Linked DNA regions of Lepisosteus oculatus. The protein of the gene in region 3 interacts with the protein of the main gene of each other region in a pairwise test. Links are inferred from orthologs where the notes say so. Each region holds a gene or a part of one and is shown on either strand. Other genes may lie near its edges. The genes, in order: trim23, blvra and lnx1.

Region 1 (10,478 bases), on a different chromosome or scaffold from region 3:
CTCACTCCTTCAGTACTGTGTGTACAGTGCAGTTTGTTCAGTCAGGGTTGCGTACCTGGCAGATCTCGGTCCTCACATGTCACCGGTGTGTTTGTGAAAAGCGTTGGTTTTGTCAATCGCATCACTGCAAGAGAACAGGCATTATCAGATTAACTTGCGAGTGATCTGTCACCTTTATTAATGGTGCTTCTCTGAAAGCCTGGTCTAGTATCACACCTAAGAGAATGGAATGCACATGGGAACAACTTTAGAACAATTAAGAGATGCAACTCTTCCAATTAATTTGCTTTATGTCTGTATTATTTTGACCACTGTACCATGAAATAATTTTGAATTATGCCAATGCACATTCTTTATGTTCTCTCTAATACTCTTAAGAGTTCACAGCTGTTTCTGTAGAGAGGAGACAAGTCTTTAATGACATGCCAAATGCAGCATGTCTCTGACCAACACAGTAATTTCAGTGTTTCACCACACACCCGTTTGGAGACCGGTGATGCCATAGTGAAATGTTCTGCTGTTTTTCCCTTTTGTTTTATTCAATATTAAGCTTAAGGTTGCAGACACTAGTGGACACAAATATCCAAATCTGTTTTTCCGGCTTAAGTGGAAGAGGCAACCTTGTACAAACTTCAGCTAAACTGTCTCTTTAATACAAAATTCTCTCACACACAATAATAAAACATGGTGAAGCTCTCACGTAGCTCTCTCTCTATATATATTCCTTCTTCTTGAAATATCAATTGTAATCACTGGCATTGAAATATTCAGTTCACAAAGATTCCCATTTTTTCCCCATTGTTTCATATTCAGAAAGTGCAAAAGACCCAACTCTGTCATGCTGCTTTTCAATTGTATGGAATTTCTCTTGATACATTTTTACTTTGTATTAATACAGGACATTGGGTGGCATTTAGAGATGAGTTTATTTTTTCAAGTCTAACAAAAAAATAATTACAATAAATAGGTGAAAAACATCTATTGTGTTAGAAATCAGTTCATAGTATTAAAAATTTTTCATTCATTTTCCATCAAGACTACATGCTAAAAATGGTTCCATGTTTATGAACTACTAAATTAATTTCACCGGTTAAGTTCAACTGTTGTTTCATAAACTTTCCGATATATTCACTATACAAAATATCACAGAAAACCCAAATCTGCCCCACATCTCGTTGAAAATTTGCGTTGCAAGAAGGAAGTTTGGAATGTCTCACTGCCCTGCTCAGGACAGTCCAAACCCATTCCATGTCTTTTCTGAGGCAGTTCGATTCCTCAATTATCCACTTGGCCCTCTGCAGTGAGTGGATCTGGAGGCCTTCCAATATTTCCTGGAGCTGTCTGGAGAAAGGCAGAACTTCCTGAAGTCTCCCAGGAAGAGAAACACTCCATGACCTTCTAAACCCTCCTCCTTCTTTCGAAACACTTGCTGCGGAGTTTGGCGAACCTGTGCGCAGAGACAGCGCCCTCTCCTTGCCCCTTTGAGCTCTCGCCCTCTTAAAACCCGTGCAGAACTCCAGCAGGTCTTCTGTGCAGTCATAGCTTTGAGAAGTCGCCAAAGGAGCTGAAGAGCTCAGCTGACACCTGATTTGTTCCACCTCCTCTGGCGAGATAACTGGTGGGCGCGTTGTGGGTTTCAGCGGTAGCTTGCTGGCATCATCTGGGAACCAGGGTACAAATCTTGGCAAAGGAGCACAGGGAAAATCTTCCAATGCCCTTTCGGCTATTTCCAACACATCATGTAGGTTACCTTGACGATTCTTGTAATGCAAGACTACATCCATACTATCACTAGCTCTTCCACGGAACGCAATTACCGAACTTGGTTTCGGTGTTTCTTTAACTGACGATCCTTATGGATTTCAAGGACACCAAGAAATCTGTCACATTGGTCGGTTTCCAGTTTCCAGTGCGGGGCAGCTGAGAATACCTGAAGCGGAATTATGGTGAAGGTGTGAAAAGATCAGGTAACAATCACAGTAAAGCAGCCGAAGCCTCCATCCTTGAGTCACCGCGAATGACCAGCTCCCTAACAACTTACGCATCAAATCATATATCCCGTTAACAGCTAACTGCGCATCACCTGCAAAAAAATGAAAAGTCATCCCTCTCGTCCTTTTTTTTATAATGAAGAATTTGTTCCACATATACTATGTCTGACCCATAGTATCATTAACGCAGAGGGCATATTTATTTTAGATTTGACTTAAAACAATGTTTGGCGTTTAGAAAAAAAAACTTCTCGGGACTTTGTACGACTCTAACCATGCGAGACACATTAGTCCATTAGACTTTCGGACAATACACATATATTTTCAGAGACATAAGACTTGACATCAAACAAGGCAAAATATTATAAACTCATACATGGTTGTTTTAAATAAAGGCAATTGTCTTGGCTATCTGTTTACGGACGGAAAACCGATTGCGGATTTATGTTGGGGCCGTAATAAAGTTCTAGTCAAATTAACCATAATAATTAAACTCACTCCTTGGACGCATAAAAATATAGATCATACAATTGTTTGTTTCAATGTCAATAAAAAAACCCGAAAATATTACCTTTTAAAGCCAGCAAATGCTCTTGTTTGGCCTGGTTGACATCCATCTTCCCTGTCTGCGTGAACCTGTGAACCTTCACCTGCATTGCAGAATAGTGTACGGAGAGCAAATAGGAACAAACAGTGCGGACGCGTTTCTTTTTCCTTTTTTTTTAATTGGGGTTTTAGTGTCTCCCGGCGGAGCTTCATTAACACGCACACAGGGTACTGGGGTTCACGACGTCAGCAAATTCTGTGCCCTTATGAAAAAGAGAACAAACTCTCATTTAATGTTAATATAGAAGCATGTAATTAGCAAAAATAATTGAAGGAATCGTTATCGCCTTTCATTTAGAGATAATGCACTGTTTCATGCATGGAATCAAGTTACACGTTTGGAAACAAAAAACTACAAAGGTATTAGCTTTTCATAACTTTTTTCCATGTTGTATACATACTGTATATTAATGACTTAACAGCTGTTTACCATGCTCATGGTGAATGCAAAGGGACCTTATCACCATAGACCGTATTAAAATTGACTGGCTAGATGGAGTTTGATATAGTTGAAGTGGTCTTGAAATTGGAATTTAACATTAGAACATCCAAGCTACAAAAAAGTGCAATATCATTATATAAGGATTACAATGGCTCATTGTACACATGGCAATTGAGAATGTAAAAGTGACGTTAAAGAGAGCAAATAAAATCATATAAGAAAATTCAAATTGTTTAATGGGAAAATGTATTCTGAATTCAAACGAAAAAAGTGTGTGCACCATAAAGTGTATATTTATTTTTTTCACTGTGACACTTTCACCCTTCTTTTGCATTATTACTGCATCAAAACTTACTTCTTAACACATTACTCGAAAATTGGCTCTTAAACATAAGGGAGAAATAAAATACAGTATTTTCCGGCTGAAAATAATTAAAATGCTTAAGAAAAAACACATAAACTCGACTAAAAAAATCTTAAAATTCTTTCAAAGTCAAAGATTCCGCCTTCAAAGCCTCCTCTTCTGCTACACAAAAACTTCCTTCACCGAACCTCTTCAACGCGCAATCGCACCTGCAGCTTTCTGGAAGCTGACGGAAACAGCTGACAGGAACGTCCATTTTGCTTATTCGGGGGAAGGTGGAAGTTTTAAATAGGAACTCGGTTGTTACTTTACACACATATGTCGAGGAGATTAAAAAGACTGCTTTTAGAACTATAATTTGAGTTTTTATTTTCCTATTACAGTGCATATAAGCATTTTTATCTCGATGCCATTCTGCCTACGTGCAATCGGACCCACCTAGGAGCGGCTGGGCTGGTGGTAGAGCCCGAGGATGGCTGCTGCTGTAGGTGTAAACAAGCAGGCATCTGCAGCGGCAATGGAGAGCTGTGTTCGACACGGCCGGGCGGCTGCAGGAGGCACGGTGAAGGTGAGTGAAGCCGATGCTCAAAACGGTCAGTGACCGAAAAAGAAAACCTATTGCGACGCCCGCAGAGAGGGGTGCATTGCCGGTGACCGTGGTTGACAGTGTTGGCGAGAGAGAGCGAGTTGGGCGGTCGCTGCTGTCGTGGCTCGGATGCTGTGTTGCTAATGTAGCTGCACCAGCTTCTTTGGTGCTGATGACAGCCTCTGAAAATGCGATGTTCCCATTGTCTTTTACGTAACCCTTTAACTCAGTTTGCACACTGCAGTTTAATTCAGAAAAATATATTAATCATGCGTTATTTGTTATGTAAGTGCAGTATGACCAAGATCTCATGACAAGGGACTTGCAATTTGTGTGGCACAGAAACGCCTGTGTTGCAAAGAGGAAAGCGTTCTTTGGCTTGCTTAGACTTGTAACTAAGTCTGGAAATTTCCAGCGGGTTTAGAGCAGGCTTGCTCGCCTGCGTTGGCGTACGCATCAAAGAAAAGGCTGTACTTGAATACAATTGCATGTTTCAAAATATAGACAAATTGCACTTCCTGTGCGCATGTAAATCATTGTTTTTGTTTGTGGTTATACTTAAGATCACATATTTGACCGAGACGTAGTCACTTAAAAATTGAGTTTTGTGTATCGCACACACTTCATTGGCCAGTTTTCTTATTACTTCAATATTGCATAAAAATGTTAATAACCCTGATTTTAAGTCTATGCGTGCAGATGGCTAAATTAATTGTTTTTATTTTTGGTAACTGCATCCATTATTTTGTGTCTCTAATGTTATTATCATTAATTCAGATGTCTGATATCAATTGTGCAGCTTTCTTTTTAGTAGCAACAGAAGAATCTTGCTTACCCACAAACAAGCAATATATCGATACCGACATTACATAAAAATAAATTTACAGTTATCTAGATCTAAAATAGGGAAAGTCTGACTGAATACTGTAATCTAGTAAAGTTGTAAAATTTGTGAATGAATGACCCAACCACACTGGGATGAAGTTAATTTTCATGGTCTAATTTTTTTATGTTTGCAGAAATTAAACCTGCTCCTTGAGCATGACCATGTAAAGATGCATTTGCATGGCGTTTCTGGCAGAAATAGCATAGAGACAAATACTTTGAGCAGTAAATAAGGAATTGCAAACATCTCCTTCAGAACTCGTTTTGCTCGCAATTTGATTAAATCCAAGTTGCTTTACTCTAACGGACTGTTCTCAAATATGCTAATGTTAATATATTTCGTCAGCTACAGTATAATAATACTGCTCATTCTTGTGCAATACATAAAATGAAAAGGGTTGTATTGAGCCATCAGTTTTTTGCCTAATGTTTTTGAATTTCCAGGTAGCATTAAACCTCAAAATGTCCCAGACTTGAATGCATGTAGAGAGTATCCCCGTGCTGGACATTTCCTCTGTGTTTGTCCCCTTGTCTCCTCTCTTTGCCTGCCTGTAAAAGCTTTCAAACATTTGCACAAGAATTCTGCTCAGTGAAAAAAAAACTGTTAAAAATAGTTTTTTCCCCCTCATCTAGTAATAAAATGCCTTTGTGAATTGATTTTGTGTTCAGTCATCTTTGCTCCTCCATAGGTGTATTACTGGAAACCTTCAATATATTACACTCATACAGTATGTTTCCCATTCTTGTACCTCACTATATTTCGTGACTTCTTTAAGACACCATTCTTTTACCCTCATTCTCTATGATAAGACACCAAATGTTTTAATAGGAGACTATTCTATTACTTTTCCGTGTAATTTAAACAGATGTAATGAACAGTTAAGAAACTGCATTTTAAGAGTTGGGGGTGAAAAGAACAAAAATTTAACATTCAGGTAAAATATTAAATAGTTTTAAAACTTAGTTTAAAGCCTCACTAAAATTAGAGTCAAATTCCTATTATGTATGATAAGACCGCTTCAATATGAGTATGGTGAACATCCTATAAAACAATTTGTACTTAGTGTAAAACAACGTGAGCTTCCAGCTTCTAAGGTCATTACACACCTCTATACTGTACCTCATGCTCCTGCACAGACCTGGTTAAGTTCGACAGCTGAAAAATTTGGGCTTTTGGATACTCCTAAAGCTTTGCTGGAGCTGAAGTCAGTCTCAATCTATGTAGAAGCAGAATTCTCCTGGCCTTGATGACATTCCATCTCGGCTAGTGCAGGCTGTGTTTGATCATGTTAGTCCAGTAATATTCAATTCTAGACATCTTTCATGGAAAAACTCTTATCTCATTTTCAGATATTATTTCTATTTTTCCTAATAAAGATAAAGGTCCACAAAACTGTTCAAGCAATAAGCCACATCACTTGCTGGATTCTGACTTTTTTTTTGGCAAAAAGATCTTTTTAAGTGAAAAAAGAGGCATGCATGTGTGGCTTTGTGGGAGGTTGGTCCCATGCCACTGATGCCCAGACTGCTCCTACTTGATGATAGTTCCTGCACATCAACATCTTGATTCTTTTCTGCAGCTATAAAATCTGCCTTCCAGGACTGAGTGGAGAGCAGCATTGCTTTTAAATCATAGAGAGTTTTGTTCATTTGTAGATATACTTCTTGAAAGTGTCCAAATAGCCATTATCCTTCTTGAAAATAATTAAATGACATTGCTGAGCTCCAAGAGCTCAAATCTTGGCCCAGACAAAGGCTTTTTATAATTTACACAATATATTCAATCTGCCCCTTTCTTTTTTCTTTTTTTTCTGTTTTTTTTTTTTAGTTTGGTAGTGAGATAATGCCCCTTTGTCCTTCTTCTTCGTGTTGGGACACGCATTTCTTTGTTTTATATTGAAGCAATGTTAAAACTTAATAACATTTTGTTCACAAGAAGTCCAAAATGTTTAAATTTCTTTGAAACCAATGCAAAGCTTTTTCGGTTACTTGTGGGGGCAGCAGTTCTGTACGTAATTATTGAGTATTTTTTTGCTTGTTCTCAACCCATCAATTTGCCATCATCCTTATTAAACAGCTGCCCTCTGCATTGTTTTTATCCTACTGTCCTGCAGAACAAATATGTAATCAGATGCACAGTTTGTTTTACAGAAGAACACATTAGATAGGTAAGTTGGATCGTTTAGGAATGAATACATGCAAATGAGTGAGGTAAATTGTAAAATTAAAATTCCAGGCTCTAGATACTTTTTTATTTTTCCATGTTCATAGAGATCTGTGGTATTTTCAGACCAAATGTGGTGTTTAAGCTGCAGTAAAAGTTTAGGGAGTTAAGCAGTTCAGTTTCAGGGGAACTTTAATGTCCTGCTCTGTCTCAAAGTTAGCTGGGATTATTGGGCCATGTGGCAACCTTAATTATAACATAAAAAACAGTGTGTATGGAAATGTTTTCACCTGTTGTAGGTAATCTCAGATATTATCAGCATATGGAAGCAAAATGCTCATAATAAGTTTGCAAAACTGAGTTATTGTGCACAACTTACACTTTTATTTATATTAAAAACAAACCCTGAAATTGGGCCTGAATTGCATGTTACTGTACAGTAGGTGTTTGTTCTGGTTTCAGGACCTTCCTGTAGTGTTTAGTGCTTTATACCGGATCAGCCAGTCTGTTCAGTGGTCAACCTCAAACAACCTTCAGTTTATAAATAGTTTATTGACATATTGTTCAGTAATTAATATCTCTGTCTAAAATCTATCTAACCTTCCATTTTCTAACCGCTTTATGCAGGACAGGGTCCCCGGGGGAGCCGAAACCTGTCTCGGCAAGCAACAGACCCAAGGCAGGGTACACCTTGATGGGACACCAGTCCATCACAGGACACACACACATTCCCGCTCACACCAGTTTTCCCAGAACCCAACCAACCAGTTTGTCTTTGTACTGTGGGAGGAAATCTAAGTGAACATGGGGATAACATACTGTCCATACTCTACTCAGATAGCACCCACCCTAGCAACTGAACCCAGGGCCCAAGTGCTTTGACCCAGTAATGCTGACCGTTGCACCACTGTGCCCCCCCTCGGACTCAGATGTTTGTAAAAAAAATCCCTGTACTGTTTTATGGGTCTGGCAGTCGGTTAACTTGGAGGATTTGATGCAGTCAGTCCTATAATGTTACGTTAGAATACATAGAAAACTAATAAAATATGAGCTCCAAAGAAATTAAAAAAAGAATGTTAGTAACTGCTCCAGGGAAGCACAGCAGTCACTAGTACAAGGTGCTGTACAGCTTCAGTACACTGTACTTCTAATAGTAATACTAACCTATTTGATATATATATAGAAAATTTTCTATTTCTGACAAATAATAGAAATAATACAATTATACACTTTCCTAGACCCTTTACTTAAAGGGCTTTACACCACCCCCAATGTGCAGCACCCACCTGGGTGATGCGACGGCAGCCATAGTGCGCCAGTATGCTTCCCACGCACCAGCTGTAAGCAGGGAGGAGAACGGAGTAGGAGGCCAATACGGGGCCTCCTACCCAGGACAGCAGGGTTAACACCCCTACTCTTTATGAGAAACACCCTGGGATTTTTAATGGCCGCAGAGTCAGAATCTCTTTTTTTTTTAAGTCTCATCTGAAGGACGGTGCCTTTTTTACACAATAGTGTCTCAATCGCTATACTGGGACATTAGGACCCACACAGTCTAGAGGGCGCCCCCTCCCCAACTGGCCACACTAACACCTCTTCCAGGAGCAACACTAGCTTTTCCCAGGAGGTCTCCCATCCAGGTAGGGTCACACCTGCTGAGCTTCAGTGGGTTGCAGGGTGATATAGCTGCTGACTGATCACCCTGATTGGCTAGTCGAGCTCCACTTGGCTTTTGTCTTTGGATTCAAAGGTATTCAGTGTGAGACTTAATTTCTGTGAATTACATTCAAATACATTGATTGCACTGTCCCAGCCTATGCCAGAGTGAATCTTAAATCGGAGCCTAGGTTTTGTTTCTCTGAGATGTCTGAGCTGATAGTTATTGTGTGCTGCCCAGGAGATCTGTGGCCGCAAGCTGCTGTTCAGCTGTTAAGCTCCCGGTATGTCGGTCTGGTTGCGTTGCCTGGGATATTGGCTGGATGTTGCTTTTCATGTGGATTGTTGTGTGCTTCCAGGTGCTGGAATGTGGAGTGTGCGAAGACGTTTTCTCCCTGCAAGGGGATAAAGTCCCCCGGCTGCTACTGTGTGGCCACACGGTTTGCCATGACTGCCTCACTCGCCTTCCCTTGCACGGCAGGGCCATCCGCTGCCCCTTCGACAGACAGGTCACCGAGCTGGGTGAGCTCTGGGCTGGGTAGTTTCCATGGAGATGACAAGGCCCTGACTTGGATATTGCTTCCTGTGGCTAAATTCGCATCAGCTGGGGCATATGACCGTCTAATTATAATTCACTAACTTAATAAACTGGAGTTTGTTTTTTGTGTTTTGGAGGACAAAAAAACAAACGGAGAAAAATGGAGAAAAAAAGCTGAATTGGTATTCATAGGGTCCCATGTTATAAAATTCTAAAATAAGAAGTATCTAGAATGCCATTTAAAATCCTTTATAGATTGGAAATTCTGTTACAGAAACAGTCATTATCATCGTGGTATTTTGGGTTTAAGACTGACTGCTAACATTTAATGAGATTGGAGTTTTCTTCTGTATCCTGGGTGATATATGTGAAGTTCTAGGGGTTTACATGCAGTGTAGTGGCACTGGTCTAAAACAACCTTGCATATGTCTAAATGAAGATGAACACAGAACTGATACAAGAAACATTTTTATTTTGCATGAGAAATAAAAACATAAAGAAGCTTCCACAATATACAGGTCGCAGAATCAATTTCTTGAATTTGTTTTGATAATTTGATTCTAACAATTGTGCAACATCCTAGGATGTGGACTTTCTGTGGTAATATGACAGTTTTGAATGTGTATGTTTGTTTAGGGGATTCTGGAGTCTGGGGACTGAAGAAGAACTTTGCTCTGCTTGAGCTCCTTGAGAGACTGCAGCATGGGGCCTCTAACCAGTCAGGCATGTCAGAAGACGCCTTAGGAGGAGCTGGGGAGGTAGAAGACAGTCTGTTCACTGGGCATTCTCAGTAGTGTTAAACTCCTGAGTGTGGCATTGTGGCTATCTCTCAGGCTTTATTTTGTGCCTTATGATCTGGTAACATTGAGTTTGTACAATGCACAATGCTCTAGGTACAGGTAGTGGACACAAAATGGAAACACCTGGGTAAACCCGAAAGACCAAGTATATTGAAGCTAGGGCTTCTACACTGGCTCATGCATTAATTAAGCAAATAACATCCTAGAATGCTTTAGTGTCCTGCATAAAAATGTTGGAGAGACCTGGTTACCTATAATTCTAGCTAGCATGGCAGCAAGAGGAGACCTCACTGACTTTCAAACAGGGGTGATTTGTACGGTGCATTTGGCAGGACCTACAGTGGCCAAGTGACTGAGAGAAAGACATAAGGAAAAGGAAACTTTGGGCAGGAGCTCATACTCCAGGACCGTGATGTCTGTGCATTGATTCGAAGTGTGAGCCAAAC
Region 2 (10,478 bases), on a different chromosome or scaffold from region 3:
CAAGGAACTTTCTGTGGGTGGAAGGAAGAAAAGGTGGCCAAGAAATCACTTCAACACATTTCCATTACAATCCCATCCCAGCACTCTTATCACAGTTTCTAACAAGGAGAGAAAAAAGCAGTTCTCTGTTTTTTAATGCTAATAAAAGAACTGATTTTTTTGGTTCGAAGTTATACAGCACCACAGCAGTTCCTGAAAATGTAGAAGGAACAGAACAGTGATCATTTGTGGCTCTGACCACCTGATCCTGAAAACATAAAGACTTTTTTGAAATGTTAGGAATTGTCTTTGTTTGGTACTTTAAGGGAAAAAAACAGCAATAATCCTGGTTGATTTAAAAAAGGCATTGCACGTTTACTTTTAAGGGACATACCTCAGAAATAGACCCAAATTTTACAGTATGTTTTTTAGGCCAATTTGAGACTGGTGCTCTGGTGCTTGACAGAGCTAGTTGGTGAACCCTTCTCACACTCCCACCAAAAAAACAACAACAAAATATTGAAAATATCCTGAAAGTTTCATTAAAACTGAAGTGAAGTAATATCTAATTAAGAACTATGGTTTATTATGTTTACTAACAATTACAGCATTGTGCCAGATGTATAAAATACCACAACACCTGTGGTTTATTTCTACTTGAAGTATAATAGAATCCATTAAAAGATGAAGTAGTGTACTCACTTTCATGACATACTTATAATTTAAAATTAATAAAATTGCAGCCACTAAGATGCCAGTGAAAGTAACACACAGCTACTGTCAAATCCAAATTTTTACTTCCGATGCCTGTCCCAATGTTAATTTTGTTGAGTGCTACCAACAGTCCTGTTACAAATATTCCTTGGTGAAAAACGCAAGAAAAGACTGATCCTCGATGAGTGTTTCACACACCACAGATCTTACATGGTCCTCCAAGCTGTCTGACAATCCCACTTCCACCTTCAGTGTCACACTCACTTCAACAAAAGCTTAATGCCTTCTGGAATGTCATCATTCCACGTCCAGAATAAAGCTCCTCTATTTCAACTAACAATTTACATTTGTGTTTTTATCAGCTCAGAAATTAAAAACTACCTAAAGCTTAAAACTAGTTTTAAGATAATAAAAAGATAATAACTGAAGGATTATGTAAAGTGCACAACTAAATGTGCCCTGATCCTTAATGATGTTTAAAATAAATGACCATTAATTTCATACATGGAGTAATTTAATGTTTGGTCAATACAGTGTTTCTGCTTGAGTAGCAATCTGTGTTACAGAGTTCTTATAAGGGTTTATCCTACCGTCATCTGGAGGGCTTATTCATCTTTAATCCAGTTCAAACAAGGAATTAAAGGCTGTGTTTAGGCTGAACAAGATCACAGTCATTGCTGTTGTAGGAATTTTAAAATGTTTCTTGGCTACCATCTAGTGGTAATTTAGAAAAATAACTGTGCTGCATTCAGGAATTCTAAGACTTAAGTTATATACAGTATGTAAACACTATACTGTATACTATACATGTAATATACATTACATACAGCATAATTACTGTACATGCATATATAGTCATGACAGACAGCAAATTAAAAATATGAAAATACCTTCATAAAATACTGAATTAAGACATTATCTTGCTATTTATAATGAAAGTAATAAGGCAAAGAAACTTCTGTGTGAACAAAGAACTCACCTGATATTTTCCTCATGGGACACATTTTCCGTACAGATAATGGCAGCATGAATATCTTCTCGGCTCAGGGCTTCATCTAGAGATATCTGCTGTATGTCCTGCTGGTTTTCCAAAGTCCTCCTAGAGGAAGACAATAGCACTTTGTCTGAGGGAATACCATTGTTACACAAAGGGGTAAAGAATGATCAACTAATTTTCTAACTTGAGCAGAGCTGAGCAACAAAGACCTACTGTAGACCTAACCCTTACGTTTAGCACTGTTAAATATACAAGTATACAAAATATGCCTAGAAAACTCTCAACATGATTGGTATTCTTTTATATGATTTTCAATTAATGTTCTTAGGAGTCATTGTGATTATCATTTACTAATTGAATAACAACCATGAAAACTGAAAAAAGCACACAAGACATTATAATAATAATTAATAATAATAATTGCTTACACTTATATAGCGCTTTTCTGGACACTCCATTCAAAGTGCTTTACAGGTAATGGGGACTCCCCTCCACCACCACCAATGCGCAGCATCCACCTGGATGATGCGACGGCAGCCATAGTGCGCCAGAACGCTCACCACACATCAGCTATCAGTGGGGAGGAGAGCAGAGTAACGTAGCCAATTCAAAGATGGGGATTATTAGGAGGCCATGATTGGTAAGGGCCAATGGGAAATTTGGCCAGGACACCGGGGTTACACCCCTACTCTTTTCGAGAAACGCCCTGGGATTTTTAATGACCACAGAGAGTCAGGACCTCGGTTTTACATCTCATCTGAAGGACGGCACCAAAAGTACAGTGTCCCCGTCACTATACTGGGGCATTAGGACCCACATGGACCGCAGGGTGAGCTCCCCCTGCTGGCCCCACTAACACCTCTTCCAGCAGCCTTCGTTGTTAATCAATATGAGACGCAGCAGTGGAGGAGGGGGAGTTTTAAAGTGAAAATTCTTTTAATTCAAGACCATTTTAAACTTCAGGAAAATTTCCTGAAATGTTATTTTACATTAGTTTACCATGCTGTGCAACGGTATCAACACAACCATTTTAATACTTGTGAGTGGCATGTTTCTGTTAATTCGATATAAGTTTAATTAACTTGTAAACAACTCTCACTTGTGTTGTAAAAATAGTTTAAAAACTATGTTATATGTTATAAATGTATTGCTTTATATGCACTGTGAAAACATGCATTATAGCAAGACTTACTATAATCATTTTGAAAATGTTTAATTAAAAAAATACATTTCTAAAATTACTAACAGCAAAAAGTGTTCTACCTCACATTGGAAAACTGTGTAGATTAAATGGTGAAGCTTCAGTCTTCTTTGCTTACTGGTGTTATGACCACATGCAATTTCAGACATTCAGTTTCTCTTGAGATCAATTTACAACTGAAGTCCTCCAGCACAAGACAAAAACTAACCTTCCTGCAATACTATAATTCTGCCAGTAAAGCTCATACCTGGCTCTCAGGCCTGGCATCCAGCACCATTATGATAGTGAGAAAACCTATTCCAAATACAGTAAATGTAGCTATGGCAGCTACTAGAAGCTACTAGAAGTGGCTTTAAAAGAATCCTTTTCTATGTCTTCCAAAATGTTAGAATATAGATCCACACAGCCTGAGCTAGAAAGGGAAACAGGACCCAACAGCCACCACTATGAGATTGGGAGTCAGGTTGTAGGACTGTATCCAGGGTCCCCCTTTCCTCTAGTGTGAATCACAACCCACAATGGCCCTGTCCATTCCCTTGAAACACATTACTTCAGTTCTTCACATTGTGTAGCTGTCTCAAGAAGAAAGAGATTTTCTCAAGACAATGGATATGGATAATGGAAATAATCACATTTGTCCTGCAATATTTATGCAGAACCCTTCGTTTAGGATGTTGAAGGTTTCAACTACCAGCTCACCTGGATATGAAGCCTTTGAGGCTCAACTTCTCTGATGGACTGGATGGGAGAGGAGAAAGGAGGTCCCTGATCCTCACTCTGCCTGCAGTTCCAATCCCCACTACCACTGTGCCAATCATATTTCCCTGCAGAGTAACAGACAGACAGGAGTTAGTTCCAAAAGAATTACGTAAGTGTAAAAAAGTGACACCGTAAAACATTACAAATTGTATACTCTTTATGCATATATTTTGACAATACTACAATCATATGTACACTAAACTAAACTGTCCTCATGTACGTGGCTTCTGTCACAAAACTGTAACTGCACAAGACACTGGACAATGAATAGAAAGAAGGACTAAGCAAACATCATAAGAACGACTGAGAACATGAGAGGACAGATAATTACAAACAAGGGACTGAATTAGGAAGGAGCAAAACGGTTAATGACAGAGAGGTAGGTTTATTAGAATTATTCTAAAAATAACACCACAATATTTTACATTTATAATGCTTTATGCAAAAAGAGAAACAGGTTATTCATTTTAATAATAATAACATATAAATAATATAATAAATAATATTACCTCACATTTAAGTATTTTAAAACGAAAGAGTCAAATACACCCCCAAGATCAACGTTTCTGGGGGTGTATTTTTAGTTCAGTTCTGTGGAACAGGAATATTCTATCCAACCAGCTGTCCAAAAAGTGTACCTCTATGTAAACTAAACACATGAGTACTGATATGCCATTACTCTGCATTTACATTAAAATATTTTGATATTAACAAAAATTGTAAGAATTATGATTATATCCATACTGTAAAAATAAATAAATATAATTGGTTTTTTTTAACAAATGGGCCAGATTCATGATTATGTCATCAAAGTGCATCCAACAAACTCAGAGTTACCATAGAGATGAAACGCACCATCATTTCTAGTGCAACTGAACTCATGTCATTCCATGAGCTGGAGCTGATGACTGGAAGGAGTCTGGAAGATGAAGACTGCGGCAACTATAATAAGCCTTTTTGGCATCCTTACTATGGGAGGCTACAGTATGTGCATGTACACAACACAAAGCGCACCTGGAGCGCTGTGGATACTGAGCTCCTAAGGACGATGACAATGTTTGCTGAAGAGATGGAATATGCTAGGGCCCATCAGAAAATTACAGAGCAGCCTGTGAATGAGGAGCCTCTGAGACACACACTGCCAGTGAACAAAATAACACCCATAACTGACCCACCACTGGAAGGAGACGCCTTGATACTGAGTAAACTGAAGGACCTGTGCAGCCCCACAGTCTTCCTGCTTGAGCAGTTAGGTTTACTGAGCCTCTTCTGCAAGTTGTTTGGAAAGCTAACTACAAAGAGGAGGGTGAGTAGAAACAGAGATTCCCCTAACATGCACAAAACGATCTTATTACACACAATTGTTTTCATTTCTGACGTACATTCAACCAGTGTCTTCTTACACCACCAAAGTCCAGTTGTATAATCAGTGAATTAATGTAGCCCTTGATCTGGACCTCGTTTACACAAAACACCTCCAATTCTTTATACAGTAGTATCTATCAACTAAAGTCAGAAAACATGGGTTTTGCTCACTCTCATGTGACAAGGCCTATGTGCATCCTACAATCTTACAGATGCTCAGTTAAACAGGATATAAAAGGAAGATTCATGCGCCATTAAAATATTGTCTTTTATGTTTCTTTCTCAGGCCAGAGAACCTAAACCCCACCTGGTCAGGCATCCAGGCTGCCAGAGGAGCTTCACTGACCTGTGTGAAGGCAAGAGAACAGCCTACACAGGAGTAAGCTGGGCCGGACAGAGAAAGGAACTGAGAACACTCTTTATCAGGGCTCTTCTGGCTTTCATCTGTTTCATTACATTTTGTAGAAATTTAAAATATTTATGTCACCAGCAGTTGTAACAGTTAAGATTTAAATTCATATGTACTGTATATTCAGATCAATAATTAACAGCATCCTACTTCTACATTTGCTAATAAAGTATGAAAGGGAATTAGTTTAAAAGGGCATACGGTATATGAAAAATATTTTTTTAAGTTGTAAAATTGAATATTGACACACCAATACCTTATTTGTGCAGATTTAACAATTCTATTTAAGTAATTTTAACGAACAACGTTGCTCTGATCATACACCTAATTGTAATGTTAAGCAAAATCAACCCATCACCTCTTATTATATACCATCTTATTTTTGTTCTAAGACAAAACAGTCATAATGCCAACATAAAATTCTAATAATATAATTTAAAATGTAAAAATTTTAATTTTAAGTAATTTAGTGCTAAAATGTTTTTCAAATTACAGTTGAACATTCCTAAGAAAAATAAACAAGTTTCTAGAAAGAACCCTCATTTTTTTTTAAATGATATAATTTATACTCAAATGGTTCAGATGGGGCAGCACAGTGGCTCAGTGGTTAGACCTGCTGGCTCACAGAGCTGGGACCCTGTATTCAATTCTGGACCTGGTTTGCTATTGGCATGGAGCTTGTATGTTCTCCCTATGTTTGTGTTGGTTTTTGCTGGTGCTCCAGTTTTCTCCCACAGCCTAAAAGACATACTGTATTAGTACTGTCCTGTAAGTTAACTGGCTCAACCCTAATGTGAGTGTGTGCATATTTGTGTCTATGTGTGCCCATTTTTGCTGAGTCTCAGAGTTGTGGTGACGAATTCAGGCACATTAAATACTACACTGAAATTAAAGTTGATGAAGGTTTTATAAAGTTATATGAGACGTGCTTTCTGTTTAAATATAAATAATGGAATGCAAGTGTACTGGATGCAGGGTGATGTCACCAGAGTGAATTAAGCAAACCCAAAGTTGCCATAGTGACAAGACTCACATATCCTTACATCACAAAGCAACCTGCCCACCACAAAGAGGCAGAGTCCAGCAAAATTCTAGTGCAACTGAACTCATGGCATTTCATGAGCTGGAGCTGATGATTGGGATGTGAAGATTGTTGTTAACTATACTGAACCATTTCGGCATCCTTAACATGAAGGTATACAAAACAAAGAGCACACCTGGAACACTGTGGATACTGAACTCTTAAAGACTCCTGAAGGGATGGAATATGCCAGGGCCTATCAGAAAATCATAGAGCAGTCTGTGAATGAGGAGCCTCTGAGACTCACACTGCCAGTGAACAGAATACAATGTGGTGAAAAAGTAAGCACATGCCTCACAACCTACGTTTTTATGGTTCAACATATTTCGACATATGTGACCTTCCACCTACAGTAATCCTCACCAAGTCCCAATAACAGATAAAATAAAGCTCATTTGACAAAACACACAACCATTCTACTATGTTATTATTTCTTTAAAAATATCAGCCAGGATGCAATACCTCTGAAAGGATAAAAGGAATTCTCAAAATGTTTGTTAAAAGAATCTTTTTCTATGTCTTCCATAATGTTATAATATAGATCCACACAGCCTGAGCTAGAAAGGGAAACTGCCACCACTATGAGACTGGGAGTCAGGTTGTAGGACTGTATCCAGGGTCCCCCTTTCCTCTTGTGTGAATCACAACCCACAATGGCCCTGTCCATTCCCTTGAAAAACATTACTTCAGTTCTGCAGATAAGCTTTTCACGTTGTGTACGTCTATGTGAACAGAAAACATGCCTCAGACAATGACAGAAATTTCTATTTTAATAAATATTAGCACAGGAAATTATTACAGACACTAGAAGCAGATAAGATAAATATCTAGAGTATTCTACCAATTATTCTCAAAGAAACAAATGTTAGTCATAGACCATAATGAAAACTCTTCCTGAAGTCTGTTGAAACAGAGGTAATATCCGCTCACTGGAAAATATCTACCATAGCACTGATACATAATAATAGTGACCGCTCCATTTTATTGTAAAGCAATACAATATAGATTTTGTGCAAAATGTGCATAGGTATATACAGATTGAAAGTACCACAGTATAAACAGTATATTACTGCAGTGTCCAAAAATTACATTAGTGCAACATGCTGTCCATAGACAGCCTAGCCTAGGGCAGTGTTATACACCCTGACAGCCGCCGGGAGGAAGGACCTGTGGAAACGTTCCCTTGAACACCGTAGCTGGAGCAGTCTGTTACTAAAAGTGCTCCGCTGTCTAATAACAGTCCCATGTAGCGGATGAGATGCATTGTTAATGATGGCTGTGAGCTTGGTCAGCAATCTTCTCTCTGTCACCACCTCCAGGGGGGTCACGGCTCAGCCCCAAAACAGAGCCAGCCTTCTTGATGAGTTTATTGAGTCTACTTACATCTCTTGCCATGATGCTGCACCCCCAGCACACAACAGCGTAGAAGTTTACTCCTTAACAAACTTACTCCTGTTGGCAAACTTACTGAGCACATTACACTGAGAAGCAGAACCTTACTGGGAAGACTGCAGTAAAAATCTGAAATCGATATTTAAAAGGATTCACATGGAAAGACAAAACAAAAATCTTCTTAAGGTAGATGTCCTAAGGTAGATGGGCACTGAGAAACAGATACAAATTCTTGTAACAGTTCTGTAATGGTGAATTGGTAAACCCCAATTAACTTAAGTCATCTCTATGAAGACCAAAGACCAAATTGTCAGAAATGTTTTTTTTTTCTGTTAAAAACAAAACTTCACCAACTTCCACCCGTCACTCAAATATACAGTTAACATATCTTCCACTACTCTTCCGTTTCTAGACATCAACTTCTCCATTAACTATCCCTGACTCTCTACTTCAGTCTATTACAAACCCACTGATTCACACAACTATCTCCTGTATAGCTTATTTCACCCCAAACACACTAAAAACTCTCTCCCCTTTTCACAGTTCCCTCGGCTACGACGACTCTGCAGCGACATCGATTTCCAGAACCAACCCCTCAAAATGTACTCTTTTAGCATCAACAGAGGATACCCTAGCAGTGTTATTGACAGAGCCCTTGCCTGAGCCCAAAACATCCCTTGGACCATCAACTCAATCAAGAATTTCCGCCTTAACAACCGCATTCCTTTGGTGCTTCCCCACCACCCTCACTTCCTATCCCCAGGGCTATTAACGACAATTTTTCCATCCTACAGGATGATCCCTGCATTGGGGCTCTCTTTTCTGACCGAAACATCATCTCATATCGTCAACCACCTAATCTGCGTAACCTTCTTGTTCACAGCTCCCTTGACCGCCCTCAGCAACCATCCACACCAGGCACTTTCCCTTGCAACAGAGCTCGTTGTATCAGCTGCAAGAATGTATCTAACACCACACTCATTCAAGGCCTCTCAGAACAATTCCAGATCACTCGGATGACATCTTGTACCTCCAGCAACCTTATTTACTGTATTTCTTGCAGTAAACAGGAAGGAGACTCGGAGACTGCTTCAGAGAACGTGCCAGGGCTGTAAAGATTAAAGATTTCTCCAAGCCCATTGTTTCTCATTTCACCTCTGACGGCCATGATCACACTAATCTCTCCATTTGTGTTCTCAAAGCTGGTTTTCCTAATTCAAACATCAGAAAGACTACAGAAACTAAACGTATCCTGCAGTTAGGATCACACCTTTTTCCTCTCAATGACAGACTGATTTTCTTCTAAATTCTCTCTTTTCATTGTAGGTTTCATTTCACACCTCTCTTCACCTATCGTGACATCATACTACCTGATTGGCCACTTTGTCTGTCCCACGCTCCCACCTCTCGCCCCTCCTCTCTCCCAGCTTTTGTTCTCCTATGCTATATTACCTTTGCTTACTGCCCTGTCCTTCTTACACCTGAAGAAGGCTCCACTGCCAAAAAACAAAAAACATAGATGTACATACAAAAAACATGAATTTAGAAGTTTTAATTGCCACAGGATGTAGAACCAAGTCAAAACAATCTTCCTCCTCTGTTCTTCAGCTGAAGAAGGCTCCACAGCGAAACGTTGTTTTCTTTCTTCTCTTTTCAGCATGGAATAAACCTATTACTTGTTCCTTTGCAGCCTACGCATGCTGACGCAGCTACCCACCTGAACTTCCTCTTCTGTCATTTGTTTTTGTAAATAGTATGATGTATTTCGACAGTGCCTTTACTACAGGGAGCTAAATAAAAAGACTATTCCAGATTCTTAGCCAATTCCACATATTCAGGAAATCTTGGACATCTTATAATAATAATAATAATAATAATAATAATAATAATAATAATAATAATAATAATTGCTTACACTTATATAGCGCTTTTATGGACACTCCACTCAAAGCGCTTTACAGGTAGTGGGGACTCCCCTCCACCACCACCAATGTGCAGCATCCACCTGGATGATGCGACGGCAGCCATAGTGGGCCAGAACGCTCACCGCACATCAGCTATCACTGATAGTATCAGTGGGGAGGAGAGCAGAGTAATGAAGCCAATTCATAGATGGAAAGTCGTGGTGTTCGGTTTTAGACCTTTTTTCGACTTAATGAAACTTGGGATTTTATACAGACCCGAAAAATACTAAAGTAAAATATGTATTAATTCAGGTAAAGGGCTCGCTACAGTGCTGTACATTTCCATCAAACACTGCCGAAAAACCTGAAAGTACACCCAGGTCAAATGGTGAAGCCATCAAAAAAGTCGAAACACACAAAACCTAAAGCGTACTGTAGACCGCTAAAATAAATCCAAAACAAAGCCAAGACGAATAGCGACAAATCATTATCTTGAATATTCGGATTATCTTGTGAAGCCCTGTAAATTAATTGATCCATCACTGTTAGAACGCCTCTTATAACCTAAAAGGTCATTTCAAATATTTTTTGGACAACACTCGGATTATCTGACATCCACTGTCTCAAATGTTTCCATAAAGCAGATGACTCGTGCAAAGGAAAAGAGGTGCATACAT
Region 3 (10,478 bases):
CAGTTTCTGTAACTTAAATAAGAGTAACTATACCTGGATTGTCTCACTTACTGTACCTGTGAAAGTGTGTTCTGCAAAGCACCCTGACAATGTACTGTATTACATTAATTGTAAAGGAATAGTTTAAAAGGACAAACATTTCAGAAGAGGTCAATGAATTCATGTTCATGAACTGTATAACTCACATATAGTTCACTTGTTTGTAATAAAGATACTCAGTTACTCTTTCCTTTGTGGGTGAAATTCCCAATGTGGCACAGGCCACAGTTTACAGCTTACTGGCGTAACTTCACTTCGTCCTCTGGGCTTGGTGGGTTAGTGCTGTGGCCCAGGCAGTCACGCCAGATCTTTCTCTCAGCCTTCACACAGTCGTGTGTTGTAATGTTTTCTCAGGCAGTGAAGGAAAGCGCGTTCCCAACAACAGGCTGGGGATGTAGTTCTTATATTATGCAGAGATAGTTCTTCTCATTACTTTATACATAATGTATAAATACATTAAACACAGACTTAGCAGTTTTTGACATTTTAATATCCATTATACAAACTGACCAACAATCAGGGTGAAATTAGTATTAAGGAAAACTCAGAATTCTATAAAAAATGTATGTGTCATTTTCTCTTTTTTAAGGCTACACAAACTAGGTGAAGGACTAAGACAAATATAAAACTAATCACTTTCTACTTTAGTAATGTTCCTTTGACCTGAGTCTGACCTGAAAAGTTGCCTTTTCCTCTGTGTCAGATCACGATGACAGTTCAAGCTCTAAATTCCAACAGCTGAATATAACATTGCAGCAGCTGAATATTGAGAAAGGCTAAACCAAATTAATAAAAAAGTGACAATTTCTATAATACAATGAAAACATTTTCATAGGAATAGCAACTGCTCTTGCACATAGTTTGAGTCTCACAAAAGCAACAATAAAAATTGAACAAACATTTCCTCATTCTGTTCAAGATTATGTTAAATAGTTCACTAACTCTCTTGGGTTTTTAGCGGTCCTCATGAACATGTAATGTGGTTAAATAAAAAGTGCTTCAAAACTGAAGAGGACCTACTTCATCCTTGAGAATACCTTGAAGTACAGAACAAACCACATGGGTGAGAAACTGCTTTCCCAGATGAATTAAGGGGGGACTTTAGGGAGGCCAGAGTGGTATTCAGCCAGGACACCAAGATTAATATCCCTCTATTGGAAACAGCTTTAATATCCATGTAGTCAGGACATCAGTTTAATATCTCTTCTGAACAATCTCTTCTCATCTGGACCTCCTATACTACACTGGGTCATTGATTTGGAAATTGTATCCCAAAGGGAAGAGAGCTACCTACTGTTCCACCAAACACCACTTAAGGCAGCAGCCCAGCTTAGCAAGCCCAGCCTTTCTCAACTTCTGAGAACTGACAAGATCAGGCTGGAAGACGACATAACCCAATCTATAATTTATGTGCACTCAAACTATTATAATTTAAGGAAATTAATTTTAAAAAATCTTTATCGTGCAAACCAGTTTCAAGGATGCTTCCATAGCAACCTGACATTATATGTAAAGAGAAGGCAAGGCTATTCACAAAAGGAATGTGAGATGATTTTCAAATTTCACATGGAGTTCATAGTCCTACCTTGAGGACACTATTACACATTTTACATCTGTTTCCAATTACTGCTTGGTACAATACAGCTTCCACATTACGTGTCTCTGCACACAGAAACTGCAAGAGAAGAGCTGTATAGGACACAAACAGAATATATAATGGTAAATACTGTATATACAGTATGATCACAATACGTTTATTTTATTTTCTACTACTCACAACAAGGATTCCACTTTCTGATTCCCCACCATACAATTAGAGTAAACTACTGCATACTTCAAATTTAAAAAGGTTAAAAAAGTATATGATGTTTATTTTTGTCATTATTTATTACATAATGCACTGGTATCTGAAGGTGAGGATGTTATCGTATATATCACTTTCAGCATAATTGAAGAAAGCATTTCTATTACCGGCGTGCTGTGTGTGATCTTATCCAACAGATTCAATTTATTACTGGTGTACTGTGTGTGATCTTATCCTACAGATTCAACTACAAATTGTATTTCTTGATGGCTGTCCTGAAAAACCCTCTTTGACACGAGCCGTGAATACAAATCGTGGAAGAAACTAGACCCCTGTTTTAGTGAAGGAGTAATTTTTCCCCACATACAATATTTCAAGACAAAAAGGCCAACAAACCCCAACAATTACACAGTGGGAAAAGGTGTTTTCCCTTTTGTTCTTCCTATCTAATAATGTAAATCGGAAAGAGATCACAAACTATCACCTGAAGGTGTAAAAACTAATTTAATGCATCTTTATACAAACCATGAATCGTAATTCAACTTTATTTCCAATCCCAAATATGCCAAAGCAATTTGTTTTTGTTTTTCTGTTATGTTAAAACAGCTTTTATTTAAAAGAGACATTGCTGAAATATATCACAGAAGCATAAGAACTTAATTGCATTTTATTTGTATCTTTATTCTATCCATGTATTCTGACCTCAGAATACATGAATACAGTACAGAGACTACTGTATGTGCGATTGTTGATTCTTCATGAAGGACCCCTTGCAAAGATTTACTGTCAGTGGTTGATAGATAGAAGCGTTAAACATGGGTAAGGCAACAGCAGCAATAATGCCTTAAATCCATATATCACCTTCTACATGAAAGTGTCTCTAAATGCACAGACAGATGAAATATTCAGGACACTCGTCAACACAGTTGTGAAGCCCTTGAAAGCTCATTGAAACCCCCTTAGATCATTGTGGTGCGATCGCAAACACTTTTTATACTTCATACATGGGTCCTCAGGACCACAACGAGCAGGGAGGAGTGCAGCTGCAGTTTGTATCTTTCTCAGTGTTGTAGCTTTTGTATTTCGTGAATGAGATCCATTATAAAGGAAAGGGTTGGTGGACACCAACTCCACCTCTGTTGCAGCAGCATTCTCCAGCAGAATTCTAGCGTCTGGCCCATCTCGCTCACTTGGTAGTTAGTAGATAAGCCATCCATGCATCTCATCCAGATGTTTCCAGAAAGAAGTCAGGTATCAACTTTAACAGTACAGCTGGGCAGATTGTTCCAGACTTTCACAACAACATCATTAGCACGTGAATTAGCACAAGTTGTAACTTGCTACTTTCCAAACTGAAACGCTGAATGAATTCAGTGGCCTGGTTATGAAGGGGGGCAGTAGACAAAACCCTTCCTGCCTTCCAGAAAAGAAAAAACACCCGATAAAATTAACAAAGTAAAAAAGGTTTAAAAAATTGCAGTTCTCCAGCAGTCTATCATTTTTGGATGTAACTGCAACTCAACAGATTTTCCCCTTTTCCAGCAAAACTGAATCAAGGGGTTCAAGCAGTCAGGTTTCCCTAGAATCTAACAGCACAGTCGTAGCATGTACATATTGTACCGTATCATGTTTGCATACGATATTAATGCAATTCTACTACTCCAGTTTGGCCAACACCCTAGAAAGTGTACATACTCTGTTTAATGGTTACTGCCTGGATTCTGCCCTGCTTCGGGAAACCTTGTTTTACCCCAAAGTGTAGTGAATCCAGGTTTGATAAGAGAAACTGTAACTTTGAGGAAGTGAGATATTTTGTCTTTTAGCTGAACACAAGAAATTCAGTTCCAGCCTGAATTTTGTCCAAAGAATAATAAATGCAATTAGAGATAAAAAAGAACAGCTCAGAGAAGAAATTCCCAGGGCAACTTATTTAGCATGCCCTCACATGCCACTCGTTGAGCTGCTCAGAAGGCTCTCCAGGACCTGGCTCATTATCTTGCAAGTTCGCAGAATCCTTGATAGTGTGAATTATTAGCCCACTACCTGCCAATAAGACAATTAACGTCACTCTTCAATGACTAATGGCTGGGGAAGTCCCCTTTCAAAGCAGAATCCGAGTAGGTCCCACAGCTGAATTCCAAACAGGGCAACTAAGCCTGAAATCTGCCATTAAAACGGATACAAAAACACACAAACAGGCCTTAACAAGGCCATTTTAGTCATTGCACCAAGTCCAGAATTCATTTTCTGACTGCCTGGGGTCATGCGGGCCTACAGGAGCTTGTCATGATCGTGGCTACAAATATGTAGTTCTCGTGTTGTGCGAGATTCTGATTCGGTTACACTGGGGTCAAGTCTGTGGGAATGACAGCGGTCGTGCTGTAACCCTCTGACGTTCTGCTACACTTGTTTCAGTTTCAAGGACTAATCTGCATGACTGCTTCTCCTTGTGTGTGCAGTTGCGACCAGGAGAAAATGTGTGCCCATGCTCCTTTTAGCTAAAAAATGAGTTTAAAGGATTAGCAGAGAGGCAAATCTGTTGCGGTTGAATTTGTCTGGGTACAACTTTTAAAGGTAAGTGCATTGCAATTTGTTGCAGATTAAAGTAGAGCTATGCAGTTGTGTAACTGTACATGCACTGACTGCGACACAGCTCACCTGCTGTTAGCGTCTTCTGGGCCGAGGAAATTAAATATGCTTTATACATAATGAAAACTTAAACTCAAGGACAGTGGGCATTTGTGGGAGTGTGTGCAGGTATAGGTGGATTAGATGCTTTATATAATATACAGAATTGTTTTTGCTTTCTACCTTTTCTAAATTATTTCCTTTCTGTCCAGGACAAATAAAGCCAAATAGTTTTTAGATTAATTTCTTACTTGTGTTTTAGATTTTATTCACTCACTGAAATTCTTAACTGTCTGGGCTGTATTTCATCTAGATTAACCTTCTTCCTGTCCTTTCTTCCATCTTGCATTTTATATCCTCCACAGCGCTTTTTGTATTGAAAAACCTTTGCTATTGAGTGGGACTTTAGTTGGAATTTAGTTGGAATTAAAAAGTGTTTTAAAATCCATATTGGTGTGACTGTCTCTCATCTAGGTGTCTGTAGTTGATATAAATATTTATTTAATGACTTTAGAAAGACTTTGATAGGCCAATGTTTAATAAGAAACAATTCCTCAGGAGGCTTTCTGAATGCTGCTTGTAGGTTGGTTGTAGTTCAGTAAAAATAATTTTAATAACAACTAAATAATAATTGAAAAAATCCCTGTTTATTGCCATTTAAAAAAGCCAAGTGTTAAGACAGCAAATGTAGCACCTGTCTTGGGTCTTTCACACCTGGACTCTTGTTTCACAAGCTCATTGAGCGCAGCCTTCTGGTGCAGAGAGGGAGCCTGGCAGGGCTCTGGGGGGCTGTGTGCCCGACAGCGCAGGTCAGCTCCAGGCTGCTGCAGACGTTAGAGAAACAGAGGTTGTCATAGTGACCTTAACCCCTGCAGGAATAGGTCGAGCTATCAGTGCAATGGCAAAGGCACTTGTATCATTACATAGGATTCTTAAGCCAATGCAACCCCATTACCCGATGATGAGACCTTGTCAAAATGCAAATAAACTGGTATCTTCCTTGTCTGCTATGAACAAGCCTCATGTGGCTTCCAAGTATACAGTATGTCCGTGGGATGTTGCACTGTTCACAGCAGCAGGACTTGAAACTTTCTGTCATGCACAACCTGTATCAGTCTACCAGGGTTACTTTTCAGTTACGTGACTGGGAAGTTTCTATCACTCAGAAACAGCCCTATGAATGACATGAAAGCAACCTATCATAACGACCGTGACAGAATTACTCCTTTAGGGGTGTGGGCTGATCCTTGTCTGAGCACTGTATTTTAAGGTGCAACTGAATTGAATATCCAATGCAGGGCATTCCTGAAGCTCCTCTGTTCTGTGTGGCTCGAGTTACTTTAAGCTCTTTCTTTTGTATTAGTAGGGAAATGTTTTATACAGGTTTCAGATGTTCTGCAACACTGGGCTCTTTGTTCATTCACTGCTTTTGTGTGTGGCCACTGGCTCATAGGTCACAGAGCTACTAGAATCCATTTACTAGAATTCCAGTTAAAGCATTTTCTGGGCCTTCTTTAAAAAATGTGGTGATTATTTGTTTTCAATTGTATGTAGTACCAATTAATTATATTACATCCTTTTATGCACGCAACTAACATTTGTGTTTCTATTTATTTTATCCCTTATTTTGGTCACTATCGAATTGTTTTTAGACAGCACAATATTTCTTAAAGCAAGCTTTCGATTAGTTCTCCTTTTTCTCTCGAGTTAAAAGCTCTGCCACAGGCACAGCTTGAATGACAGAAAAAGTCATTTGTAGGTTTCTTTCAATTATACTGCCTGTATTGGGAGTCAGTGTTCAGCCAGAGCAATAGGTTCTAGGTTCTAGTCCGTGCTGAGCACACTTTAAAAGTCAAATTACAACTTTGTAGATTGTTTCCTTCTTTGTGTTGGTTTTTCTCAGATAAAGAAGATGGATAATGAAAATGTAAAATGTCAAGTGTTGACCTGTCATCATATTTTTGAGACAGAGGACTTATCTACAGGATCGTCACACACTCTGATTACTAATGGTGTTTCGAAAGCTCGAGTGCAGTGCAGTGGGTCTCTGCTGTTGTCAAGCCACAGCTGCCTCTGGCCTCGTCTCCGTGCTGGGCTGACACCCTGCCAGGCTGCAAGTGGAAACTGAATCCCAGCACCCCTGGCCAGCTACAGAAACACGTAATTGTGCTTTTCAAAATATGATGCTTTTAATTAAGGGATTATAACAAAACAATAGCTCAGTGTTTTCTTTGTCATATGCAAGCTCTTGATGTGCTCTAGACTTTCTGTCAGCCCTCCATAACTGGTCATCGCGGTCTGCTGACACTCGTTCACTCCTAACCATCTCTCTGTCCAAAACAAGAGTGTTGTAATACTCTCTACACAATTAAACCTCAGGTGGCTTTTGAGGGCCAGTAGATCACTTCCTGTACCTTTTCCTCTTCTTGTTCAGTAACCTGGCTTGTCTCTGCCTGTTTGCTCAATGTCTGGTGTCACTGCCAGGCTGGAAACAAACCCTTCATCCACAGGCTGTCTTCCCAAGAGCCCCGCGGAGCGCAGACACAATTGGAGTGATCTTGCTCTTTCACAAAGGCACCTTTGTTTTTCACTGTAACTCCACTTCTCACTGCGTGGTCTGAGGGTGCAGCCCCACACCTGCGCTCCGCCAGCTGCAGGCACTGCGCCGCGTTCATAGGCCCTCCCCTGGCCTTCCTCTTCGTCTTTCTGTGACACGCATCTCCACGGCGTCTTCCGCTTGCTGTAACACTCCTGCCCAGGGCTGTCTCACTGGTCATGTCTAGGAAACTAAGGGTTGAAACAGTTCAGGTGGGCAGCTGCGTCAGCAGGCGCAGGCTGTAAAGGAACAAGCAAAGGTTTATTCCTGCTGAGAAGAGAAGAAAAGAAGCGCAATGAAGAAGGCTCCACAGCCAAAATGGAATAAACCGAGGAATAAACCTTTACTTATTCCTTTGAAACTAAGGGTTTGTTAACTATTTTGACTCTGCATCTCCTCAAATACACCTCTTCACTCCCCTCTTGGCCATGACCACATTCGAAGAGACGCTGACATGCGCCCCAAGACACGTGCTGCTGAGAAAGCAGTAGTTTTGGACTTTGAAACACTTGGTTTTTGTTTGCCATTGGGCAGTCAGTTCCTTGGCTCCCACAATGTGAAACAGTGGTTGTAAAGGTATTACATACCTTTGTATAATAAGGTGTACAAAGGCATAATAGTACAAACAAAGGTATATGAGTGCATAATAATGAATAATATACACTTTTAACATGTATATATGTTTCTGGGAGGCAGAGCCATGTAGTGAACTTTCTTCCAATGCGATCATTCAGATTCCACGCAAAAGCTGGGCAATCTATTAGTCTTCTTTAAAATGCAATTCCTTTGTACCGATGATCTTTGGGATAAACAGACAACAGTCCCTCTAAGGGAATCTTGATGTACAGTATTTGTATGAATTTATGATATATGTATATAAAATTATTAGTTGTCGGGATACAACTCTGTTGCAGCTTTGCTAATCACAGAACATTAACCCTTGTAAAACATGGTGGCTTTGTTGGACCAATCCCTACAAAAGCATCCTCTACATCCAATTTCCAGCACTCTGTCACATTTCCTCCTTAGATTAAGCTAGGGTGTGAGATCAGGACTGCTGATCTCTTCCATTTAATGTGTAAGTGCGTTGCGTAATGCAAAAGCCAGCACTACAAAGGATTAACCCCACACATGTTTCCAGTCCCAGCTCCAGACATACAGTGTATGTGTATTTACATATATATAGTGGGTCTCCAATATGGGTCTTTGCAATACATCTATCTATACCATAGAAAAGTAAGAGAATATCTACTTTCTTTTTAAATTCTATGTGCAAATAAAATCACCATTGAGTTACGAGCTATGTCACAGAATTGTACTTTATGGTAATCCTTAGCAGTATTTTTTCTCTCTGTGGAACTGTTGACCTGTGAAGGTTATGGATTAGTATGTATGCTGTTTGATTAACAGTAGAAAAAATGGGAGTTCTTGAAGAAAAATTAAGGACTACGAATCTTTTGTCTCATTTACACTGACATGTGTCATATTAGAGGATGCAAGTGACTGTGGTGTGATGAAACAACCCAATAGTTTATCCTCCTTTCCAGCATGGCAGTCACTCATTCTGGATGAGTCTTTGAGTGATTTATGATTTATTCTAGGCTCTAAGTCTACATTTTACAGTATATGCCTTATGACTTTATGGTTCAAATATCTGCAAGCTTGCGGTGTTGTTCCCTTTGGAAATTAATGGCATATATTTTTTTTATTATTTAATCCCTTATTTTACCCACCAAACCTTATTTACAATAACAACATGCCTCAGAGGCTGCCAGAGGCTACAGCATTACAGAAAACAAAGCAGTAAAAGAAAAGAACAATCAATAAAGTATAAATAACATAACAGGACACCAAAGTGTTACCAAGTGCTTTCTCAAAAACAGAATTAGAGGCCAGCATTTAAACTAGTTTATGTGTAGGGAAAGGATATAATAAGATTTGTTGTGAGAAAGGAAAAAATGTCTGTACTTGTCATTTATTAAATTATGTCCAGTGTTGCTGGCTTAGAGATGGGGTTTTGTATTTCATTAAAATATTGTAAATATATAAATGAAGCAAAAAGCAGGACCCAGAACAAAACCTTGTGGAACTCCCTTTGCAGCTAGATGAGGCTGTGCAACTATTCCCCAAGATCACATTCAGTCTGAGAGTTCTGAGATCATGCAGGAGAGTCTATTACAAGATCAATTCTGCACAATGTATTCCCCTTAATTGAGTGATTTGCAATATCAAAAATCCTTGAATACATAAAAAAAGAAAGAAATCTTGTAGTATTTGGTGAAATTTAATTCCAGGCACACTCAAAAAAAAAAAAAAAACAACAGAAAAAGCAATGCTGTGTTTAAAACACAAAATTAATTAAACCTGCCTCCCTTCCAGTCTTTTCAGTCTCTCAATGGGGCAACGGGTTTCATTTATTGCGTTAGGTTTGTGAGTAAAACTAAACTAGAGGACAGATGGTGGAAGCTGCAGGCGTTGGCTGATACTGGCAAATGTGTTTAAATGTATTTATTTTTTTCTTTTTTTAAATGGGGAAAAAATAAAGTTCCCTCTCCCGTGTCTTTCCAGATTCACTGCGCGGTTCGCCAGCAATGGGTGCCGGCCAGGTCACAATAGCAAAAGCCCTCAGGTGATCCAGCTCGGTGAATCTACAACTAAGGCCCTTAAAAAAAAATACCTTTAGCTCAGTGGAAGGTAACCATTCGATGCGAATGCTTGGAGACTGAGGTTTTCGTAATAAATATAAAAACTGATTATTTTTGGGGTGTATCGGGAAATAAGATGTCATTTAAACTGTAGTTCTGGCTCGGGGGTTCTTGCTGCCTGCCGCTGTATCAGTCGGGTGTGAAATAACCTCAGGTCCTGAGAGTGAGTGATGTGTTCCTCGTTTTTGTTTCTTTTTCTCCGTGTCGAATATATATATATCATATATCGTTTTTGTATTTGGAGACTTCTATTGAGGGGGGTAGTTTCATTTCTTTGTGACTGCACTTTTGAGAAGGGGCATCGCGATAGTTGATGCGCTTTCCCCGCAGAGCAACAGGCAGGATGTGGACACTCGGAGCGCCGCGCCGGCCCCCACAATGAGCACATTAGCGGCTGTTTTCTCATGAAGTGATTAGTCCCGAGGGTGAAGATAGACTGGTGGGTTCTTTCAGCTTCTGTTTAGCTGCAAAGGGAAAGTGACGGGCTTCAGATGGCCCTGCCATTACCTGCAAAAAATATGTGTTGATCGGTAAACTTGAAACAATAAGCGGAAATCATGCCTGGTGTCAAAATGATTACGTTGATGTGAAATTCTGTTTTCAGTTCAATACAATATGCTTTATTGGCATGACCAGTGAGTAAAATCAGCGTTGCCAAAGCAAAACAATGGGTAAATCCCCAAGTCTGAAACACGTTGTATCCTTT

Evidence for each region.
Region 1: the proteins of lnx1 (region 3) and trim23 interact in binary tests that used the Homo sapiens proteins (3 or more experiments, as listed by UniProt). The link is inferred for Lepisosteus oculatus from reciprocal best matches to the Homo sapiens genes LNX1 and TRIM23.
Region 2: the proteins of lnx1 (region 3) and blvra interact in a two-hybrid assay, tested with the Homo sapiens proteins (3 studies listed by BioGRID and IntAct). The link is inferred for Lepisosteus oculatus from reciprocal best matches to the Homo sapiens genes LNX1 and BLVRA.

Annotation. Positions count from the first base shown.
Region 1 is NC_090698.1:27,871,799-27,882,276, reverse strand, and holds the start of trim23 (E3 ubiquitin-protein ligase TRIM23), read left to right. Parts: upstream 1-3,686; 5' UTR 3,687-3,875; coding exon 3,876-3,971; intron 3,972-9,053; coding exon 9,054-9,216; intron 9,217-9,868; coding exon 9,869-9,990; intron 9,991-10,478. Other genes in the region: trappc13 (trafficking protein particle complex subunit 13), read right to left, coding at 56-124, 2,563-2,647.
Region 2 is NC_090701.1:24,141,083-24,151,560, reverse strand, and holds the start of blvra (biliverdin reductase A), read right to left. Parts: upstream 5,350-10,478; 5' UTR 5,335-5,349; coding exon 5,323-5,334; exon of another isoform or gene 5,302-5,322; intron 4,957-5,301; exon of another isoform or gene 4,442-4,956; intron 4,030-4,441; exon of another isoform or gene 3,716-4,029; coding exon 3,591-3,715; exon of another isoform or gene 3,548-3,590; intron 1,793-3,547; coding exon 1,673-1,792; intron 12-1,672; coding exon 1-11. UniProt on the Homo sapiens protein: Reduces the gamma-methene bridge of the open tetrapyrrole, biliverdin IXalpha, to bilirubin with the concomitant oxidation of a NADH or NADPH cofactor. Does not reduce bilirubin IXbeta.
Region 3 is NC_090696.1:78,406,085-78,416,562, reverse strand, and holds the start of lnx1 (E3 ubiquitin-protein ligase LNX), read left to right. Parts: upstream 1-4,302; 5' UTR 4,303-4,417; intron 4,418-10,478.